Saccharomyces cerevisiae S288C: one gene and its partners. Changing the gene in region 1 together with any one later gene gives a genetic interaction. Each region holds a gene or a part of one and is shown in the gene's direction. Other genes may lie near its edges.

Evidence for each region.
Region 2: of ZIP1 (region 1) and CLB1, extra expression of one rescues a mutant of the other (dosage rescue), as found in Saccharomyces cerevisiae (3 studies listed by BioGRID, with this or other methods).
Region 3: of ZIP1 (region 1) and SIR2, changing one suppresses a phenotype caused by changing the other (phenotypic suppression), as found in Saccharomyces cerevisiae (3 studies listed by BioGRID, with this or other methods).
Region 4: mutations in ZIP1 (region 1) and RHO2 together harm fitness more than expected from each alone (negative genetic interaction), as found in Saccharomyces cerevisiae (2 studies listed by BioGRID).

The regions. Positions count from the first base shown.
Region 1 is NC_001136.10:1,030,711-1,037,533, forward strand, and holds ZIP1 (Zip1p), read left to right. Parts: upstream 1-1,725; coding exon 1,726-4,353; downstream 4,354-6,823. Other genes in the region: DPP1 (bifunctional diacylglycerol diphosphate phosphatase/phosphatidate phosphatase), read right to left, coding at 1-709; MGP12 (Mgp12p), read right to left, coding at 4,521-4,865; inositol monophosphate 1-phosphatase INM2, read left to right, coding at 5,285-6,163; Smc5-Smc6 complex subunit NSE3, read left to right, coding at 6,485-6,823.
Region 2 is NC_001139.9:701,142-706,625, forward strand, and holds CLB1 (B-type cyclin CLB1), read left to right. Parts: upstream 1-2,494; coding exon 2,495-3,910; downstream 3,911-5,484. Other genes in the region: B-type cyclin CLB6, read right to left, coding at 4,218-5,360. UniProt on the Saccharomyces cerevisiae protein: Essential for the control of the cell cycle at the G2/M (mitosis) transition. Interacts with the CDC2 protein kinase to form MPF. G2/M cyclins accumulate steadily during G2 and are abruptly destroyed at mitosis.
Region 3 is NC_001136.10:374,995-380,672, reverse strand, and holds SIR2 (NAD-dependent histone deacetylase SIR2), read left to right. Parts: upstream 1-2,227; coding exon 2,228-3,916; downstream 3,917-5,678. Other genes in the region: peptide alpha-N-acetyltransferase complex A subunit NAT1, read left to right, coding at 1-1,799; spliceosome assembly protein PRP11, read left to right, coding at 4,193-4,993; MTF2 (Mtf2p), read left to right, coding at 5,384-5,678. UniProt on the Saccharomyces cerevisiae protein: NAD-dependent deacetylase, which participates in a wide range of cellular events including chromosome silencing, chromosome segregation, DNA recombination and the determination of life span.
Region 4 is NC_001146.8:453,805-458,797, forward strand, and holds RHO2 (Rho family GTPase RHO2), read left to right. Parts: upstream 1-2,760; coding exon 2,761-3,339; downstream 3,340-4,993. Other genes in the region: NST1 (Nst1p), read left to right, coding at 1-2,326; TOP2 (DNA topoisomerase 2), read left to right, coding at 3,900-4,993.

The DNA.
Region 1 (6,823 bases):
TATAACCCAACATAGACCCTAAAATTACATCGACGAAATGATGTCTGTAATCTTGAGTTCTGGATAGAGCAATTAGTGCAGCTCCTAACAGTGGTAGAAAGGCCACCATTTTTCTCCATAAAGGCATCAACGGTGATTCAGTCAAAAGTTGCCCACATAGCCAGAAGTACAAATAACCCAGTCCTGCAAAGCTTTCACTTGAATGACCTGACGGAGTTGTCCTAAACCCATCCAACAGACGTTCGTGATTCTTAGTCGTACACACATCTTTTGCAGTAAATAAAGTGTCCAATGGCAAGCCTTCAACAGGTTGGCAACGATCTAGAAAATCTGGTCTTAGTCTTCCAATCCAATTCTTGATGAAGTTTGTAAAGAAACTCGTACTGAACCAAGCGAGTGATAAACCAAGGAGAGATGTGTACAAAATAAAAATCAAATGTCTTCTATCGGCCAAAATGGAACCAATTATCAATATGGTTAAAGATGGCACGACAAAACTATAAACAAACAACATGTTGTTATTTACACGTTCAGTTGTCGCATAAGGATGCGATATAGTGAGATCGTTAATGTAAAACTGACGTTCGAACGGTTGTTGGTAATACACTGGGTAGTTAAGAAGTATCATGATAATGAGCAAAAAGACATCTTCTAATCTCCATTTCGCCCCTATGTTGAAAGGCGTTTTAATAAACGAAACTCTGTTCATTTTGGTCGTTTGCTATGATTTAATTCTGATTCTTTGCCTTTAACAATTGATAACGTGCCCTTTATTGAACTGCTAACTACTCGAAAAATTGGACACAATTCAGTTTATAGCAGGTGTCCTTTAAGTGATGTTTGCTGATTTCCGAACTGCGCGTATGTTAGTGGACCCTAGATAACAGTTTATTCCCTAACGTTTCTAGATAATATATGACAAAAATATACAACCGATCGACAAATTATTTCTAAAATACAAAAAAGTTAGTCGTGAGGTTATCCAACGTTGGGTTTCTATCTATATATAAAAGCTAATCACCAAACAATTGAGAATCAACGCCGATAACATGATGTACAATTATAGCAGTATACGCCAGGCGTGCTGCATTTATTCTTTACCCTGTCATCGTTGACGAATACTTTTTTTTAAAGGGATCGCACTCTAACCACCTGAAAGGTACTATCTGAAAAAGTGTTGACTAAAAACAGAAGCGCCTTAATAATAGTGCACTACTGGAAAACTATATTTAATGTAAAAAAGAAACTACATTGAATGAAATCGAAAAGTATAATTTCTCTCCGTACCTGTGACTGATACAATGTAACGATGTAGACTAAGAATAAGATTCTCACTTAAAAGCTGCTATTTCAACTGATTATCTGCAGAGTATGCGATCACAAGACAGATCACAACTGTGTTTATCGGACATAATGCTATATTTTTGCTGCGCCAGAAATCGAGTACTAGTTTTTAAATATTTGTTCTAAACGGTCAAACTTTTCGTAAAAAATGCTATAAGCCGTGTTGTCCCTTTATGAAGAGCTGCTTCTTCACTTGTAAATAGCGAACAAATAAAGAAAACAATCTGCTACCTCTTTGTTAAAGTTGACCGCCTTGAAGAGAACTGCAAGTCTCTGAAAGTTTTAGCTGAATATTGTCACCTCTTTTAGGATTAACAGTAAGCATATTTTTTTCTTTGAGATTCGGAAGTAAAATACCCTCGGCGGCTAAATTTTTAGAGAATGTCAAACTTTTTTAGAGATAGTTCAATGGGATTCAAGCCTCGACCAAACATCTTCGCTAAGCTGAGAGTCAGAGATGTAGATTCAGATTCTTCCGCTAATACTGTTGTCGAGAATTCATCCAACTGTTTAGACGTGGGTTCTTCTATAGAGGGAGATGATACCTTCAAAAAACCCCACAAAACTTCTACCGAACAAGAACTGATTACAAGTATGAGCCTTAGTCAGAGAAACCATGGTTATTCTGATGATATGGAAATAGGTTCACCAAAAAAAACAACATCAACAGACCAATACAACAGAATTTTAAAAAATGATGTTGCCGCAATTGAAAATGATACTGATGAAGATTTTGAAATTACAGAAGTAAGAGAAGTGAGTGAAGGAGTAGCAAAAGAAACGAAAGAAAGTCATGGGGATCCTAACGATTCTGAGACAACTCTCAAGGATAGTAAAATGCATGAATATACTATGACAAATGGAAAGGCTCCTTTGCACACGTCCATCAATAATTCTAGTACATCTTCAAATGATGTCCTGTTAGAAGCCTTCACAAACACTCAAAGAATATGTTCAAATTTAAAGCAAGAGCTACAAAAGCAGCAACAGGATAATGCAAAGTTGAAAGTTCGACTACAGTCGTATGCTTCCAATTCTGATAAGATCAATGAAAAAGTCGGAAAATATAAATCTTGTTTAGAAACTCTTCAAGAAAGGATTGCAACGTTGACGAGCCATAAGAATAATCAAGAAACTAAATTGAAAGATTTAAGACAAAACCACCAACTATATCAGAGAAGGATAAGCGGATTTAAGACAAGTATTGAAAACTTGAACAAAACAATAAATGATTTAGGGAAGAACAAAAAGGAGGCGGATGCAGAATTAATGAAAAAAGGTAAAGAGATTGAATACCTGAAAAGAGAACTAGATGATTGTTCAGGTCAGTTGAGCGAAGAAAAAATCAAAAACAGTTCCTTAATACAGGAAATGGGAAAAAATAGAGAAGAAATGATTAAATCAATTGAGAATTTCTTTTCAGAAGATAAAGCACACCATTTACTGCAATTTAACAAATTCGAAGAAAGAGTTCATGATTTGTTTGAAAAAAAATTACAAAAGCACTTCGATGTGGCAAAAGATACCCTTAACGTAGGCTTGAGGAACACCACTGTAGAGTTGAGTAGTAATACAGAGACCATGCTAAAGCAGCAATATGAAGATATCAAAGAAAATCTTGAACAAAAAATGTCATCCAGTAAGGATGAAATGGCAAAAACAATAAATGAGCTGAGTGTAACGCAAAAAGGACTTATAATGGGAGTACAAGAAGAACTATTAACGTCATCAGGGAATATTCAAACTGCTTTGGTAAGTGAAATGAATAACACAAGGCAAGAGCTTCTTGATGATGCGTCTCAAACAGCCAAAAATTACGCGAGTTTGGAAAACTTGGTGAAGGCATATAAGGCAGAAATAGTTCAGTCGAATGAGTATGAAGAAAGGATAAAACATTTGGAGAGTGAAAGGTCAACTTTGTCTTCACAAAAAAATCAGATTATTAGCTCTCTTGGTACTAAAGAAGCACAATATGAAGATTTGGTCAAAAAGTTGGAGGCGAAGAATATCGAAATTTCACAAATTTCTGGCAAAGAACAAAGTTTAACTGAAAAAAATGAAAACCTTTCTAATGAACTGAAAAAAGTCCAGGATCAACTAGAAAAACTCAACAATTTGAACATCACAACAAAATCAAATTACGAAAATAAAATATCTTCTCAGAATGAAATTGTGAAGGCTTTAGTTTCCGAAAACGACACTCTGAAGCAAAGAATTCAACAGCTAGTAGAAATCAAAGAAAATGAACAGAAGGATCATACAACCAAACTGGAGGCTTTCCAAAAGAACAATGAGCAGCTACAAAAGCTAAACGTCGAAGTAGTACAACTGAAGGCTCATGAATTGGAGCTTGAAGAGCAGAATAGGCACTTAAAAAATTGTTTAGAAAAAAAGGAAACTGGTGTTGAAGAATCACTAAGCGATGTAAAAACCCTAAAACAGCAAGTGATAGTTCTGAAATCGGAGAAGCAAGATATAACAGCTGAAAAGTTAGAACTTCAAGATAACCTCGAAAGTTTGGAAGAAGTCACCAAAAATTTACAGCAAAAGGTGCAATCGCAAAAGAGGGAATTAGAACAGAAGATTAAAGAGCTAGAAGAGATAAAAAACCATAAACGGAACGAGCCTAGTAAAAAAGGTACACAAAATTTTACTAAACCATCAGATTCACCCAAAAAAAATGCTACGACGTCCAACTTATTTCCTAATAACTCTGCTGCCATTCACTCTCCTATGAAAAAGTGTCCTAAGGTGGATCATATAAGTAAGTCAAGAATTAATTCATCCAAAGAAACATCCAAATTTAACGATGAGTTCGATCTTTCTTCATCATCAAATGACGACCTAGAGTTAACCAACCCTTCCCCAATCCAAATTAAACCAGTGAGAGGAAAAATCAAGAAGGGTTCAAATTGCATGAAACCTCCAATTTCTTCAAGAAAAAAATTACTACTAGTAGAAGACGAAGACCAGTCATTAAAAATAAGCAAGAAAAGGAGAAGGAAATAGAGGATAATGGAAAATTTGAAATCGTTTTGTGCGAATACATTTCATTTTGTTCCCTGCGTAAGAAGTATGCATAGTAAAATTAGCGTAGATATAGTTTTTTGAGGTATATACTTATTCATAGCTTATAAATATTTACAGTGTTGTAACTCTAGTAAAAACAAAAGAGGTCATCTAGATTGCATTCTCCTTATTTTATCACTGATATCGTCTTCTTCAAGAAAGTGCAGGATCTTGGTGCACGACTTAGGATCACCAACTTTCTCAATATGAAGTACTGGTATGTCGAAGCAATATTCCTTCCACCATTTTGCGTTTCTTCGGTCAGTTATGTTGACTATCTCTAGTGAAACTGCTTTATTATGAAATTCCTTTCTTTCAAATACATCATCTATCACTTCCTTTGCTTGATCGCATAACCCACAATTAGGCTTTGAGAAGAAAGTTAATTTCACTCCAGCATCATGTAACAATACCCTCGAAGTATGTATAGAACAGCGGAACGCTCTCAACATGGTGATATGTTCCTTAAGTTTTATGTCTTACTGAATAATTACGAATTTCTGTTATGAATTAAACGAAACTTTACAATGCATCAACTCCGAACTCTCTACGGAAAGGTAACAACTTGCGCACATCATAGACCCATAAAGCGAAAAAAAGGGAAGTCAATCACAGTTATATTGACATTCCAAAGCCAGTAACTAAAAAACTACAAAAATGGATTCTCACAGTCATATTAAGTGACCTCTTATTATTTCCCTTAAAACGGTAATTCTTAATAAAGAACGTCAGTGTTCCGAGTGATAACGCCGTGAAGCACCCTGCTTCATTACATATGAAATCGTGGGGAGAAAAAATCGTGAAAACAATATAGAGAATAAGTGAAGTTGAAGCTCCACAAGCCCTTGTAAAGTAAACTTAGATTGAAGCGATGGTATTAACGAGGCAAGTACTAGAGGAAGTGGAGAACACATTTATTGAATTACTTAGGAGTAAAATAGGACCTCTCGTAAAATCGCACGCAGGAACAAACTTTTGTTCATATGATGATAAAGCAAATGGCGTAGATTTGGTAACTGCTTTAGACAAACAAATTGAATCTATAATCAAGGAAAATTTAACGGCCAAGTATCCCAGTTTCAAATTTATCGGAGAAGAAACTTATGTAAAAGGTGTCACGAAAATAACTAACGGCCCTACATTTATTGTTGATCCCATCGATGGTACTACTAATTTTATTCACGGTTACCCCTATAGTTGTACATCTCTAGGTTTAGCTGAAATGGGGAAGCCGGTTGTTGGTGTGGTTTTCAATCCTCACTTAAACCAACTATTCCATGCTTCCAAAGGCAATGGAGCTTTCTTAAATGATCAGGAGATAAAGGTTTCAAAAAGGCCATTGATTTTGCAAAAATCCTTAATTGCTTTAGAAGGAGGTTCGGAAAGAACTGAAGGTTCCCAAGGAAACTTTGATAAGAAAATGAATACTTATAAAAACTTACTAAGTGAGTCCGGCGCCTTTGTTCACGGGTTCAGAAGTGCAGGAAGTGCTGCCATGAACATATGCTACGTAGCGAGCGGCATGCTTGATGCTTATTGGGAAGGTGGCTGCTGGGCTTGGGATGTTTGTGCCGGTTGGTGTATTCTTGAGGAAGCAGGAGGAATAATGGTTGGCGGAAATTGTGGAGAATGGAACATTCCATTAGACAGAAGATGTTACTTGGCTATTAGAGGTGGATGTGAGTCGATGGAGCAGAAGCGATTTGCAGAATCGTTTTGGCCTCACGTTGCGGGTGAGTTAGAATACTAAATGCCCCCCTCAGGTGTCGTTAAATAAGCTACATCTAAGAAAAGTTTATATAGTACTTCACGCAATTCCTACTAGTATTTTTTTCCAGTACAGGACGATATCTTGAAGCAGCAACTTGATTTCACAGGTCACTTAGTGTGGGCTTCTGACTCAAGAATAGCAAGTATTACATGCATGCGGCCCTCTCCTTTAACAGCGCGATATACGTGAAGAAAAATTTCAATGAAGAGTAATGCGCTTATTATCAACTTCGATTGAAGGGGTCCTATATCAGTATGCTACAAGGGAAGGTTGTTCGATAAACATAAGCTTCTCATTAGCATGAGTTCTATAGATAATGACAGCGATGTGGATTTAACAGAAGATTTAGCCGTGGCCAAGATCGTTAAAGAGAATCCTGTAGCTAGAAAAATGGTTAGGTATATTTTATCGAGAGGAGAATCTCAAAATTCGATCATAACAAGAAACAAGTTACAATCTGTTATACATGAAGCTGCTCGCGAGGAAAACATAGCAAAACCGTCTTTTAGTAAAATGTTTATGGACATAAATGCTATACTGTATAACGTATATGGGTTTGAATTACAAGGATTGCCGTCAAAAAATAATATGAACGCTGGCGGTAATGGAAGCAATAGCAATACAAATAAATCAATGCCT
Region 2 (5,484 bases), on another chromosome or scaffold:
AGATGCAAGGATTGATACTGTATTAGGATAATGTAATATATAAAACGGAAGGAGAAATAATCGCAATATTATTATGTAGAAATACTGATTCCATTTTGAGAATTCCTATATCCTGGAGGAGAACTTCTAGTATATTATGTATATACCTAGTATAATAGCGTTTACCAATACTGGAATCTCAATGATTATCAGATTACTCACGAATTTCTTTAATAGAATAATGAATGATACCATACAAAATGGAAAAATAAAAATTATAAAATTTTCATGTACAATTACAGATTCCTTTTTGGGGATTTCTATATTCTCGAGGAGGAATTTTAATGCATTCCGTATGCCCATTAATATGGCATTTGATAACAATGAATCCCAAAAACTGTTCCAAGATTCATATATTTCTCGCACCCGTTCCCCTAAACTTTATCCCATCTTAGCGGGTTGAATCCACGTTAACGTTCCACTAGTAGATTTTCCACTTCTGTTACACTTACTGCGCAAGTGGCTCGTTTATCGTTTATTTACTTTGAAACAGTGCGACGGCACTACAAAGGAGCGCGTAACAAACGTTACTATCCCGTTTCATTGTTTCAGATTATCACCATAGTTACATATGTAGGGAATGGCAACCAACCTGTTCCAACATTCTATTCAGACCGAGAAAATCCAGTAGGACTTAACGGTGGTTCCGAAATTCTATTTATATCATTGCTATTAGCTTTATGTATATTGGCAATTGAAGCGGTTCTTCTTCATGACATAATAGTCCATCAACTGTTCGTGCAATTGATACAAATTAATTTTGAAGGCAATATTTAAGTTTGGTTTTCTTACGCAGAATACTTTTTAAAGTATCAACTTTCGTGCATCAGCTTCTGTCAGGTTCAATGATTGTTTAATTCTGGTCTTCAGGTCATATAATTTCACACCATTTTTTATCATCGCTTCTTGAAAATTCGATGTAAGGTAAATAATAGCTTCAGTTTGTTGCATGAGTAATATGCGGAAGATAACTGATTGTTATTTTAGCAGAAATCAATCAAGATGAAAATATCCACTACTTCGAAAATACGTAGCAAGCCAAGTTCAATCGGTAATCTATAGGTTCGGCAAGAGACTTTGCAATGCTAATGTTTACATTTCCTTGCCACAGTTCTCGTTGGAAACAAGCCTAATGTTAACGTATTTTCACCCGCATTAAACTACAATTGTTTTGGACGTAAGAATTTACAGCGCAATTGTTCTTTTCTATTTTATCATTACGATTGTTCCAAGAGCTTCTTGCGTTATTTACCATATATTCTTGATCTATGAATGATAATAAACAAGAGTAAATGAATGTTTTATATGTTCATAATGACAACAACTGGGGGGGAAATGAAAATATTTATCTTCTATTCATAGTAAAAATAATCTTAAAATTGAAACTAACGCTGAAAACTGCAACAGTTACGGCATTTTTTATTGATGCGTAAAAGCATTGTCTTTGTCAATTTTTGAACTATCGAATTGCTCCATAATATCATTCATGGTGTTATCCAATTATTTAGTAAGCTTCGCTTGTACTCAGTCATTTTTTTTTTTTGCATCCAATTTTATTGAAAGTCCGCCCGCTCTGTTAAAAAAGGCGTTTCTTCCAAATTTGAATAGGACACGATCGAGATTCCCTCCGATTAATTATGTGCTACTGGCTCCTCTTTCGTCGTATTGCAAGTGGACTTTTCAACGAGGCTATGCATGCCCAGTGTCATTCTTGAAGCAGGCACACACAGACGCGCTTCAATTAGTTTTCTTTACTAGATGCATCATTTGGGCGGTTTTTCACTACCGTTTTCGAGTAGGGGCTCTCACAAAACGGGCACGACCTTTTGTTTACAACCGCCCAAAGAGGAAAAACATCAACAATCAAGAAGCGGACACAAAATATAGAAGCACCATAAAACTCACGTCAACGGTAACTTTAAATTTGTTGTATTAATTAATCATTTTCAACTTGCATTTTTACAGCATCATTTATGGGTATCCTGCAAGTTAGGTGCGGAACGTACATAACATATTACTTCAATTTGCGTTCCGCATACGGTCTGCCCAATTTGTTTTGTTTGTGATTTCCTCATTCGTCTTCCTCTGCAGAAACGGGTTTGATCCTTCTTTTATGAATACGGCGTGTAGTTATATATATTAAGTAATAGAAGTTATTGCACTTCTGTGTAAGAAGAAGATACTAGGGTGATCTATTCTAGGCAATTTTGGTTGTATTGTGTTTTTTACATTCGGCCAAACTTGAGCAGGCTGCAATTTTAGTGTCTTCGGTTTTTCCAGCGACAGTTTTACTTGTGGCTCTTGGTATAGTTTCTTAAAACTATTAAAGTTGCTAACTGGTGCAGCTGTTTAGATCACAAAAGCGTAATTAAGAATAAGATCTACCAACAAGAACAGAGCCAAAATATTTTCGTCCGTTATATCAACCATCAAAGGAAGCTTTAATCTTCTCATAATGTCACGATCCCTTTTGGTAGAGAATAGTAGAACCATTAATAGTAATGAAGAGAAGGGGGTAAACGAAAGTCAATATATCTTACAAAAGAGAAACGTCCCAAGGACCATTCTCGGTAATGTCACAAATAATGCAAATATCCTGCAAGAGATTTCTATGAACAGAAAAATTGGGATGAAGAACTTCTCAAAATTGAACAACTTCTTTCCTTTAAAGGATGATGTTTCGAGAGCCGATGACTTCACCTCCTCTTTTAATGACAGTAGACAGGGGGTGAAACAAGAAGTACTAAACAATAAGGAAAATATTCCTGAATATGGATATTCCGAGCAAGAAAAGCAGCAGTGCTCAAATGATGACTCTTTTCATACGAATTCGACTGCCTTGAGCTGTAATCGGTTGATATACTCTGAGAACAAGTCTATTTCCACTCAAATGGAATGGCAGAAAAAAATAATGAGAGAAGATTCCAAAAAAAAAAGGCCAATATCAACTCTTGTAGAGCAGGATGACCAGAAAAAGTTCAAACTCCATGAATTGACTACAGAAGAAGAGGTTCTGGAGGAGTACGAATGGGATGACCTAGATGAAGAAGATTGTGATGATCCCTTAATGGTGAGCGAAGAGGTTAATGATATCTTCGATTATTTGCATCACTTGGAAATAATCACATTGCCAAATAAGGCGAATCTCTATAAGCATAAAAATATTAAGCAAAACAGAGACATTTTGGTGAACTGGATAATCAAGATTCATAATAAGTTTGGCCTTCTGCCGGAAACTCTATATTTGGCCATAAACATAATGGATAGATTTCTTTGTGAAGAGGTGGTTCAGTTAAATAGATTGCAACTGGTTGGTACATCATGCCTGTTCATCGCATCTAAGTATGAGGAAATATACTCCCCTAGCATAAAACATTTTGCGTACGAGACAGACGGTGCATGCTCTGTGGAAGATATTAAAGAGGGTGAAAGATTTATATTGGAAAAACTCGATTTTCAAATTAGTTTCGCTAACCCAATGAATTTCTTAAGGAGAATATCAAAAGCGGATGACTATGATATCCAGTCTAGGACGTTAGCGAAGTTCCTAATGGAAATATCTATAGTGGACTTCAAGTTCATCGGGATATTACCGTCATTATGTGCCTCAGCGGCAATGTTCCTTTCGAGAAAAATGCTGGGCAAGGGCACCTGGGATGGCAACTTAATCCATTATAGTGGTGGTTACACAAAGGCAAAACTATATCCCGTTTGCCAATTACTGATGGATTATCTTGTTGGATCTACTATTCACGACGAGTTCTTGAAAAAATATCAATCGAGAAGATTTTTAAAGGCTTCCATAATTTCTATCGAATGGGCATTGAAGGTAAGGAAAAATGGATATGATATTATGACATTGCATGAGTGAAGGTGCTAGCCTACACAGAAAACCAAAATCTCACTTCCTTACTTTATCATCTATTTTATAGAAAAATCAGGCATTCATTATTCATATAACGGTTATCTCATATATATTATCACACGGTATCAGTTTTGTAGGCTGTAATAATTAATTCATTTATAAATTTTTTCTCCCATAATTGGAAAATTATCTTTAAAGTGAGGAATAATGCATTTTCTTTCTTTTTTTGAATACATAAAAGAAATAAAGAAGTATGTCTATCGATGATATTTAAGATGCAGGGGGTTAGCTGGCTATAATTTTGATCTATGTTTCAACGTTTTTGTTTACACCAGTCAAAAACCTTGAAATAAACCATGCCATGTTTAGGCTTTTTGTATTTAAGTCTCAAGGAATCTAGATTCGTATCAGGTACAGCAATATCTTCAACTAGTTCACTGATAAAATCCTTAAACGCTGGATCTGATTCAATATCAATGCCGCCACTATAATGAATAAAAGTTTCATCCCATTTGGAATTTTCATTTTTAATTTTTCTGGCGATATACATGGACATTGCAGCTAAATATGATGGCTTCAGGTGGATGAATTTATTACAACAAATCGAATATTCCATGATGAATTTGGCCATGTTCCTTGTTTCAATGCAGTAATTGTCAGCTTTTGAAATTCTCCTAATGAAATTTAGGGGGTTTGGTAGAGATATGTTATAACCTAAAGAACTTAGAACGAATAGCTCAGCCTTCCTAATTCCTTCGACAGTGGCAGCACCGTCAGTCACGTACGCAAAATTTGTTATTTTTGGTAATTTAACTTCTTCAAATTTACAGGCAATGAACAGGCAAGTGATGCATAGTAGTTGTAATTTATTCAATTTAACAACATTTTGTGATAAAAATCGATCTAGCAGGTTGATCGCTAAAAATAATGTTTCAGGTAAGCAGTGAAATTTCTCATGAACTTCAACCAACCAGTCAATTAACAGCGCCCTCATGGAGCTTTTCAAATGATAGGGAGATTGCGTGTCCATTAAATAGTTATGTGTCGGTAGCATTTGGATTTCCTTCTCGTAAAGATGAGAAAATATAGAATCTGTATATTCTGCTACCATGAATGGATCATCCATCTCTATCGAATCCAAATTTTTCCATTGATGACATTTTATTTTTTTCACAGTTTTTGGCTCTATAGGATCGGTTGAATCATTTGATAATTGTCTCTTTCTTGTTTTTTCCAAATGGGTGGAATCTCTTTGCAATTTACCTCGAGGGAGTTGTAAAGAATCGATTTTGTTACTGTTTACCTCGGATAGAACTTTTTTTTCATTCGTAGAGTGAGGTGTCAAGTTAATTGAACTTTCTCTTGGAATGGTATGGAAAGCATTTTCCTTGCCTATACAATCTTCATTATTAATTTGGATTTTCCTTTCACTAATTGGACTAGGGATACAATTCATTTTAAAAATTTAAAAGGAGGGAGAGAATATCAGAGAATAATAATTTTCAACACACTGATTTGTATGTTGTATGAACGCTAGATTAGTGAAGCTTGTTATTATTTAATAAAAGATAAAAGTCACT
Region 3 (5,678 bases), 650 kb from region 1:
AATTGAAAGACGCGTCCATTGTTTATAGAACTCTGATCAAGAGAAATCCAGATAATTTTAAGTACTACAAATTACTGGAAGTATCCTTGGGAATCCAAGGTGACAATAAATTGAAGAAGGCTTTGTATGGAAAACTTGAACAATTTTATCCAAGATGCGAACCACCCAAATTTATTCCATTAACTTTCCTTCAAGACAAAGAAGAGCTCAGCAAAAAATTGAGAGAATATGTTTTGCCTCAATTGGAGCGCGGTGTTCCAGCAACTTTTTCCAACGTGAAACCCCTTTACCAAAGAAGGAAGTCCAAGGTTTCACCACTATTGGAGAAAATTGTCCTTGATTATTTGTCCGGATTAGATCCTACGCAGGATCCAATTCCTTTTATTTGGACCAATTATTACTTGTCTCAACATTTCCTTTTCCTTAAGGATTTTCCGAAAGCCCAAGAATATATTGATGCTGCCCTTGACCACACCCCAACTTTAGTTGAGTTTTACATCCTCAAGGCACGTATCCTGAAGCACTTAGGCCTAATGGACACAGCGGCTGGAATTTTGGAGGAAGGTAGGCAACTTGATTTGCAGGATAGATTTATCAACTGTAAAACGGTTAAGTACTTTTTAAGGGCTAACAATATCGACAAGGCGGTGGAAGTCGCGTCCCTTTTCACCAAAAACGATGATTCTGTTAATGGTATTAAGGACTTACACCTTGTGGAAGCTTCTTGGTTCATCGTAGAACAGGCAGAAGCCTATTATAGACTATACCTGGATAGAAAAAAGAAATTAGACGATTTAGCATCGCTAAAAAAAGAGGTTGAAAGTGATAAAAGCGAACAAATTGCGAATGATATCAAAGAAAACCAATGGCTTGTTCGCAAATATAAAGGTTTGGCGCTGAAAAGATTCAACGCTATTCCAAAGTTTTATAAACAATTCGAAGATGACCAGTTGGATTTCCATTCATACTGTATGAGAAAAGGTACGCCAAGAGCCTATCTGGAGATGTTAGAATGGGGAAAGGCACTTTATACCAAACCCATGTATGTTCGCGCAATGAAGGAAGCATCAAAGCTTTACTTTCAAATGCATGATGATCGCTTAAAAAGAAAGTCCGATTCTTTAGATGAAAATTCAGATGAAATCCAAAATAATGGCCAAAATAGTAGCAGCCAAAAGAAAAAAGCTAAGAAGGAAGCAGCCGCTATGAACAAACGGAAAGAAACTGAAGCCAAGAGTGTTGCTGCTTATCCGAGTGATCAAGATAACGATGTATTCGGCGAAAAGTTGATTGAAACCTCCACTCCAATGGAGGACTTCGCTACCGAATTTTATAATAACTACTCCATGCAAGTCAGAGAAGACGAAAGGGATTATATTTTGGACTTTGAATTTAACTACAGAATTGGAAAGTTAGCTTTGTGCTTTGCTTCTCTAAACAAATTCGCTAAGAGATTTGGCACCACGAGCGGTTTATTTGGTAGTATGGCCATTGTTTTGTTACATGCCACAAGAAACGACACCCCCTTTGATCCAATTTTGAAGAAAGTAGTCACGAAGAGCCTTGAAAAAGAGTATTCTGAAAATTTCCCATTAAACGAAATATCTAACAATAGCTTCGATTGGCTGAATTTCTACCAAGAAAAATTCGGTAAGAATGATATAAATGGCCTGCTATTTCTGTATCGCTATCGCGATGATGTTCCGATCGGAAGCTCTAATTTGAAAGAAATGATTATTAGCAGTCTTTCTCCCTTGGAGCCTCACTCCCAGAACGAAATTCTACAGTATTACTTGTAGCCTGCAACTCCTCAATGTGTCAATTAACTCTTACTTAATTTATGTATATATTTTTTATGTATATGCTTATATGCATGCGCATATGCTCATAAAAGATACATTGTTATAGGTCATTTCTTTTCCAAGCTACATCTAGCACTCCTTCCAACCATGGTCCAGGACAGCCAGGACCTTTTCTTGCCAAAATTCTTGCTTTCCCATCTCAGAGAAAAAACGAGGAATTTTTCTTTGTCCTCTTTGGCCGCCAGTTGCGGTAAAATATTTTTTTTCTAGGTCGCATAGTTTGAAAGACTTGTCTTTTTCACCACCCAAGAAAAATATATTTAGTGAAGAGATGTAAAGCCCATTCTCACGTATTTCAAGAAATTAGGCATCGCTTCGGTAGACACATTCAAACCATTTTTCCCTCATCGGCACATTAAAGCTGGATGACCATCCCACATATGAAATACGCCGTATCAAAGACTAGCGAAAATAAGGTTTCAAATACAGTAAGCCCCACACAAGATAAAGACGCGATCAGAAAACAACCCGATGACATTATAAATAATGATGAACCTTCACATAAGAAGATAAAAGTAGCACAGCCGGATTCCTTGAGGGAAACCAACACAACAGATCCACTTGGGCACACTAAAGCTGCGCTCGGAGAAGTGGCATCGATGGAGCTCAAACCAACTAATGACATGGATCCCTTGGCAGTGTCAGCAGCTTCAGTAGTGTCAATGTCCAATGACGTTTTGAAACCAGAGACGCCCAAGGGGCCAATCATAATCAGTAAAAACCCATCAAATGGTATTTTCTATGGTCCCTCCTTCACTAAACGAGAGTCTCTCAATGCTCGAATGTTTCTGAAATACTATGGTGCACACAAATTTTTAGACACTTACCTCCCCGAGGATTTGAACTCGTTATACATTTACTATCTTATCAAGTTGCTAGGCTTTGAAGTTAAAGATCAAGCGCTTATCGGCACCATCAACAGTATTGTCCATATCAACTCGCAAGAGCGTGTTCAAGATTTGGGAAGTGCAATATCTGTCACAAATGTTGAAGACCCATTGGCAAAAAAGCAAACAGTTCGTCTAATCAAAGATTTGCAAAGAGCAATTAACAAAGTTCTATGTACAAGATTAAGATTATCCAATTTTTTCACTATTGATCATTTTATTCAAAAATTACATACCGCTAGAAAAATTTTGGTCCTGACTGGTGCAGGTGTTTCAACTTCATTAGGGATCCCGGACTTCAGATCTTCTGAGGGGTTCTATTCAAAGATCAAACATTTGGGGCTCGATGATCCCCAAGACGTTTTCAATTACAATATATTTATGCACGACCCCTCTGTTTTCTATAATATTGCCAATATGGTTTTACCTCCAGAAAAAATTTATTCTCCATTGCATAGTTTCATTAAGATGCTACAAATGAAAGGGAAATTATTGAGAAATTATACTCAAAACATTGATAATTTGGAATCTTATGCGGGAATAAGCACAGATAAACTGGTGCAGTGCCATGGCTCTTTTGCTACTGCCACCTGCGTTACCTGCCATTGGAACCTACCCGGTGAGAGGATATTTAATAAAATTAGAAACCTCGAACTTCCACTATGCCCGTACTGTTACAAAAAAAGAAGAGAATATTTCCCAGAGGGATATAATAATAAAGTAGGTGTTGCTGCATCACAGGGTTCAATGTCGGAAAGGCCTCCATATATCCTTAACTCATATGGCGTTCTCAAACCAGATATCACATTCTTTGGCGAAGCACTGCCAAATAAATTTCATAAGAGCATTCGCGAAGATATCTTAGAATGTGATTTGTTGATTTGCATTGGGACAAGTTTAAAAGTAGCGCCAGTGTCTGAAATCGTAAACATGGTTCCTTCCCACGTTCCCCAAGTCCTGATTAATCGTGATCCCGTCAAGCACGCAGAATTTGATTTATCTCTTTTGGGGTACTGTGATGACATTGCAGCTATGGTAGCCCAAAAATGTGGCTGGACGATTCCGCATAAGAAATGGAACGATTTGAAGAACAAGAACTTTAAATGCCAAGAGAAGGATAAGGGCGTGTATGTCGTTACATCAGATGAACATCCCAAAACCCTCTAAGTAGAAGGCAATTTAATAATTTAAAAGTGCCAAATTAATATCAATTTACATAGTATGGCAAACAATTTTGTTTTCCTTTCAATTATTGTAGTCAAATATTATTTACATTCTGCTATTTTCATTGTACCGGGTGAAATATTACATGTACCGCCCATCTCACTAAAAAAATGAAAAAAAAAAATCTGCTAAAGACGCAAGGCTCTCACAAATAGCTTAATGTAAGAAGGGCAGGTGGAACAGCAAATTCAAATCATTTAACGCATCCATACATTCAAAATGAACTATTTAGAAGGCGTTGGGTCAAAGAAAGGAGGTGGTGGTATAGCCTCAGAATCTCAGTTTAACTTACAACGAAGGAAAGAAGTCGAATCATTACTTAGTAAAGGCGAAAATGTCCCGTACACTTTCCAAGATGAAAAGGACGATCAAGTAAGGTCCAATCCGTACATTTACAAGAATCATTCCGGTAAACTGGTTTGTAAACTATGTAATACAATGCACATGTCGTGGTCCAGCGTTGAAAGGCATTTGGGTGGTAAAAAACATGGTTTAAATGTGTTAAGGCGTGGTATCAGTATAGAGAAAAGTTCTCTAGGGAGAGAAGGCCAAACAACTCATGATTTCCGACAACAACAAAAGATAATTGAAGCTAAGCAATCTTTAAAGAATAACGGTACGATCCCTGTTTGTAAAATAGCTACCGTGAAAAACCCGAAGAACGGTTCAGTAGGTTTGGCTATCCAGGTAAATTATAGCAGTGAAGTCAAAGAAAATAGTGTCGATAGCGATGATAAGGCTAAAGTCCCTCCTCTCATTAGGATTGTATCTGGTTTAGAGCTATCAGATACCAAACAGAAGGGAAAAAAATTTCTCGTTATTGCGTATGAACCCTTTGAAAATATTGCTATTGAGCTACCTCCAAACGAAATATTATTCAGCGAAAACAATGACATGGACAATAATAACGATGGAGTAGATGAATTAAATAAAAAGTGTACATTTTGGGATGCTATATCAAAACTTTATTACGTTCAATTTTTCTTTAAACAAGCCGAACAAGAACAAGCCGATGTATGACAGTATTATTTTTGGGTAACGTTAATAATCGGCATACAAAACTCTAACCAAATTGGATTATATAATAGCTATTAAGGAAACAATTGTCTTTACAAGAGTTTTTTTTACGAAATTTTCCCATCCAATGTGCACTTATTCTCAGGGAGTATAATAACCATATTCCTCTAAAATTATATTACTGCTCAACTTCCATGCGCTTTTGCGATCTAGAGTATTTATGTTACCATTTATCAACAGTATCTAGTACTCGCAGCATACATACGTATTTATTCAGAAAAATGTAATTAGGCGAACAAGGCCGAAAACTGTGATGTGACAACGCTTGCTATACTTGAGAGATAATTGTAAAGGAAGAAGAGGGAACTAAGGAAGAGTACAACACGCCATACAATGATCAGAACATCATCTATATTAAAAAACTGTAACTATAGATACATACATTGCATCCATAGATGCTTGCTGAATGAAGCCAATTTGAAAGATAGAAAAACTCACAACGTAGAAAGAGTTTCAAATGAAAAGACATTTGAACAAGCTCTCGAAGAGGAACGTAAGGTATTTGGAGAACTATTCGAAGCTGGAGCAAGGGTTGAAAACATGAGGCACACTAATGCTAGCAAAATAATTGACAAGTATTACAATGGGCTACAGGACAACTCCGAGGGAACTAGTGTAAAAAAAGAAA
Region 4 (4,993 bases), on another chromosome or scaffold:
CTATGATGACTATTCAGAATATGCTGAAGATAGCGAAGAGGTTTCTGAGTATGAAGGAATAGAGGCAGTCGAAAAACCAGAGCATGATGAAAAAAGCAACGGGATACGTGAAACATTACATTTAAGTTATGACCACGATCATAAACGACAGAACCACCCTCACCATCACTACCATAGTACCAGTACCCACAGCGAAGATGAACTGAGTGAAGAAGAGTATATTTCCGATATAGAATTACCGCATGATCCTCATAAGCACTTTCACCGCGATGATGATATATTAGATGGGGATGAAGATGAGCCAGAGGAAGAGGATGAAAATGAAGGCGATGACGAAGAAGATACTTATGACAGCGGTCTTGATGAAACTGACCGTTTAGAAGAAGGTCGGAAATTGATTCAGATAGCCATTACAAAGTTGCTTCAAAGTCGAATAATGGCTTCTTATCATGAGAAACAGGCAGATAATAACAGACTAAAACTTCTACAAGAACTAGAAGAAGAAAAAAGAAAGAAAAGAGAGAAGGAAGAAAAAAAGCAGAAAAAAAGAGAAAAAGAGAAAGAAAAGAAGAGGCTGCAACAGTTAGCTAAAGAGGAAGAAAAACGAAAAAGGGAAGAAGAGAAAGAAAGGCTAAAGAAGGAATTAGAAGAGCGTGAAATGAGAAGACGAGAGGCTCAAAGGAAAAAGGTTGAAGAAGCCAAACGGAAGAAAGACGAGGAGAGAAAGCGTAGATTGGAAGAGCAGCAGCGGAGAGAAGAAATGCAAGAAAAACAACGGAAACAGAAAGAGGAACTAAAACGCAAGAGGGAAGAAGAAAAGAAACGTATTAGAGAACAGAAAAGGCTAGAACAAGAAAAGCTACAGAAAGAAAAAGAAGAAGAAGAGAGACAAAGATTAATTGCAGAGGATGCGCTAAGAAAACAGAAATTAAACGAAGAACAAACATCTGCGAACATACTTTCCGCCAAACCTTTTACTGAGAATGGAGTTGGCAACCCTGTTTCATCTCAATCACATCCCAACATGACTAACTACCAAGAGGATAATAGTTGCAGTATCAACGATGAAATACTTAAAATGGTTAATAGCGTGGCTGCATCCAAACCAGTTTCACCCACAGGCTTTAACGTTCATGATCTACTTCTTCCTTCAACTAACAACCAGATGCCTGCTATGGAACAATCACACTTGCCACAGCCAGGTAATCAAAACAACCATTTTGGAACTACAACTATTCCGAATGCGTTAGACTTGGCTACAAAATCTTCTTTACAGACTGAAAACAACTATTTAATGAACTCACAAACTCTGGAAAATACAAGTCTATTGATGCATAATAATTCATCGCCAACTAAGCTATTGCCAAATGACTTTGGTTTATCATCTTGGGGTGGTCTGACAAATACAATGTCCATAAATCCTACATGTAAACCACCGGTTATTCAAACTTCAGAAATGGAATCACAAGCCCATAAATCTAGTCCTCAAGCTACAATGCCATCTTTTGGACTACCTAATGGTGGTACTCACCGTAAATCGTTTACCGACGAGTTGAACACTTTAACTAGCATGCTTTCTTCTTCCGGGTTCGCAGATACATCACTTTCATCATCAGGATTCCCCCCATCACAGCGTTCTGTGTGGAATGATCAAAAAAGCTCATTTTCGGGACCGTCGACTGCAGGAAACTTTAACAACAGCAGTATACAAAGCGGTATGCTGCTCGCACCTACATTAGGAAGCGTTGAATCGTTTCCAAATCGAACTTCTATCTGGGACAGCAGCACCACTCCGATGATGAATAAATCCGAGCTTTCCGGTCGCAATATAACTAGTACTGCGCAAGATAGCCCTGCGTTCATGGCATCAAATATCTGGTCTAGTAACAGTCAATACAATTCACCATATTTGACTAGCAACGTCCTTCAATCCCCTCAAATTTCGAGTGGAGTGGATGAAAGCCACATTCTGGATAGCATCTACAATACTTATTTAGCTATTTCCCCACAAGATAGTTTAAACCCCTACATTGCTATCGGGACACTATTCCAAAATTTAGTAGGACTTAACTTGGATTACTCGACGTTTATCAACAAATTGATAAGCATGCAAGGAGCCTACAATTGCGAATTCTTTACTGATAACAATGGATCCATTACCCACGTTCGATTTGCGAGACAAACTCCCGCTGGCCACTCAAAGGGGTTGCTGAATCAACTCTTTAGTGGATTGAACGATCCAACTGCTACACCATTTACGTCAAGGCCTCATACCTCCACAAGGGCTAGTTTTCCAATTGCCTCTTCAACTACGCAAACGTCTTAAATTTGCTCCGGTACGCAGGGCCAAAAATATTTACATACATACATAATTCGACGAAATTTCAGAAGAGACACTAAACAATCGTACATCTCTCTACTCGATGTGAGCCACGCGTCGGTTTTTCTTACCGTCGTGGCTTTAGAGGTGAGGCTGCGACACCCCATACATCTTACCCGGCATTTAATTTCCATTTTTCGCAGGAATGTGAATATGATAATAGACTTCGGTACACTCTTTTTTAGGTATAACATATATCAATTGTTCAACAACAATTATTCAAAGCGCAACTCTCCAAAGGTAGTTATTCTGATAATTTGAACCAAAAGTCCCCAGATTAAGTCTTAATTAAACTGCCCTTGCATACCGCTGTAAACGATTTGTGTGCAGACATCAATTGCTGAAACGTTCTGCTTTGGTTGTGCTTTTGATCCCGTACTATGTCTGAAAAGGCCGTTAGAAGGAAACTTGTTATTATTGGTGATGGTGCTTGTGGCAAGACCTCTTTACTATATGTATTTACATTAGGAAAATTCCCTGAACAATATCATCCGACAGTGTTCGAGAATTATGTCACTGATTGCAGAGTTGACGGAATAAAAGTGTCCTTAACGCTCTGGGATACAGCGGGACAAGAGGAATATGAACGTTTACGTCCATTCTCATATTCAAAAGCAGATATAATATTAATTGGGTTTGCTGTAGACAATTTTGAATCACTAATTAACGCAAGGACGAAATGGGCGGATGAGGCATTACGATATTGTCCTGACGCACCAATCGTTCTTGTAGGCTTGAAAAAAGATTTGAGGCAAGAAGCCCATTTTAAAGAGAATGCTACCGATGAAATGGTTCCCATTGAAGATGCAAAACAAGTTGCAAGGGCCATTGGGGCCAAGAAATACATGGAATGTAGTGCACTGACTGGTGAGGGTGTGGATGATGTCTTTGAAGTAGCTACAAGAACCAGTTTGCTTATGAAGAAGGAACCAGGGGCTAACTGTTGCATAATTTTATAAAAAAAACTTACACTGAAATGATACATTATCTTTTTAGCAAGGGAGGGAAAAACAATACCGTATTATAATTTTAATCAAATTTCATAGATATAATGGAATAAGTTAAAAAGGCTTATCGATAGTGCATGTATAAAACACAAACCCATTCGATATGTTTGTTCGTTAATGTCCTACAGATTCTTATTCGAGAGCCTTTACCAGAAGCAAAATTTCCGACGGATATAAGAAAATGGCACATCAAACCATAGCTCAAGGTACTGCGCCGATGAGCTAAACGGAACTGCCTAGTTTGATTATTTTTCGTTTATATACTTATTTACTTATTTACGCTATTTGTATTCGAATTCCTTACGAGGCGATGAGTGAAAGACGCGCCAGTAGGACGCGTCTTTTTTTTTTCAGTATAATGTAAACATATTATTGAATTGCCGAAGGAGACAAAAAGAAAAGAAAAGAGGAGATCATCTTTCATATAATCCAACCACGTCGTAGAGCAAACCACGACAATTTTAACTTTCTGTTTCAGTTAAAGGAGTTTATAACGACCAGCACGGCTAACCATGTCAACTGAACCGGTAAGCGCCTCTGATAAATATCAGAAAATTTCTCAACTGGAACATATCTTAAAAAGACCAGACACTTATATCGGTTCTGTTGAAACTCAAGAGCAGCTGCAATGGATATACGATGAAGAGACCGATTGCATGATTGAAAAAAATGTCACAATTGTACCAGGGTTGTTCAAAATCTTTGATGAAATCTTAGTCAATGCGGCAGATAATAAAGTTCGTGATCCATCGATGAAACGAATCGATGTAAACATACATGCTGAGGAACATACTATAGAAGTGAAAAATGATGGAAAAGGTATTCCCATAGAGATTCATAACAAGGAGAATATTTATATTCCTGAAATGATATTTGGTCATTTGTTGACATCATCCAATTATGATGATGATGAGAAGAAAGTCACTGGTGGTAGAAACGGTTATGGTGCTAAGCTTTGTAATATATTTTCCACTGAATTCATATTAGAAACTGCAGATCTAAATGTTGGCCAGAAATATGTTCAAAAATGGGAAAATAACATGAGCATTTGCCACCCCCCAAAAATAACATCTTACAAGAAGGGTCCATCATATACAAAGGTGACATTTAAGCCGGATTTAACCAGATTCGGAATGAAAGAGCTAGATAATGATATCTTAGGAGTGATGCGAAGAAGAGTTTATGATATCAATGGTTCTGTTCGTGACATTAATGTCTATCTGAATGGCAAGTCCTTAAAGATAAGAAATTTCAAAAATTATGTTGAACTCTACTTGAAATCACTCGAAAAAAAAAGACAACTAGATAACGGTGAGGACGGTGCCGCTAAGTCTGATATCCCGACTATTCTTTATGAGAGAATAAACAACAGATGGGAAGTTGCTTTTGCGGTTTCTGATATCTCTTTTCAACAAATTTCTTTTGTGAATTCCATTGCAACTACCATGGGTGGTACCCATGTCAATTACATAACAGACCAAATTGTAAAAAAAATTTCAGAAATTTTGAAGAAAAAGAAGAAAAAAAGTGTGAAGTCTTTTCAGATTAAAAATAATATGTTCATTTTCATTAATTGTTTGATTGAGAATCCTGCATTTACCTCACA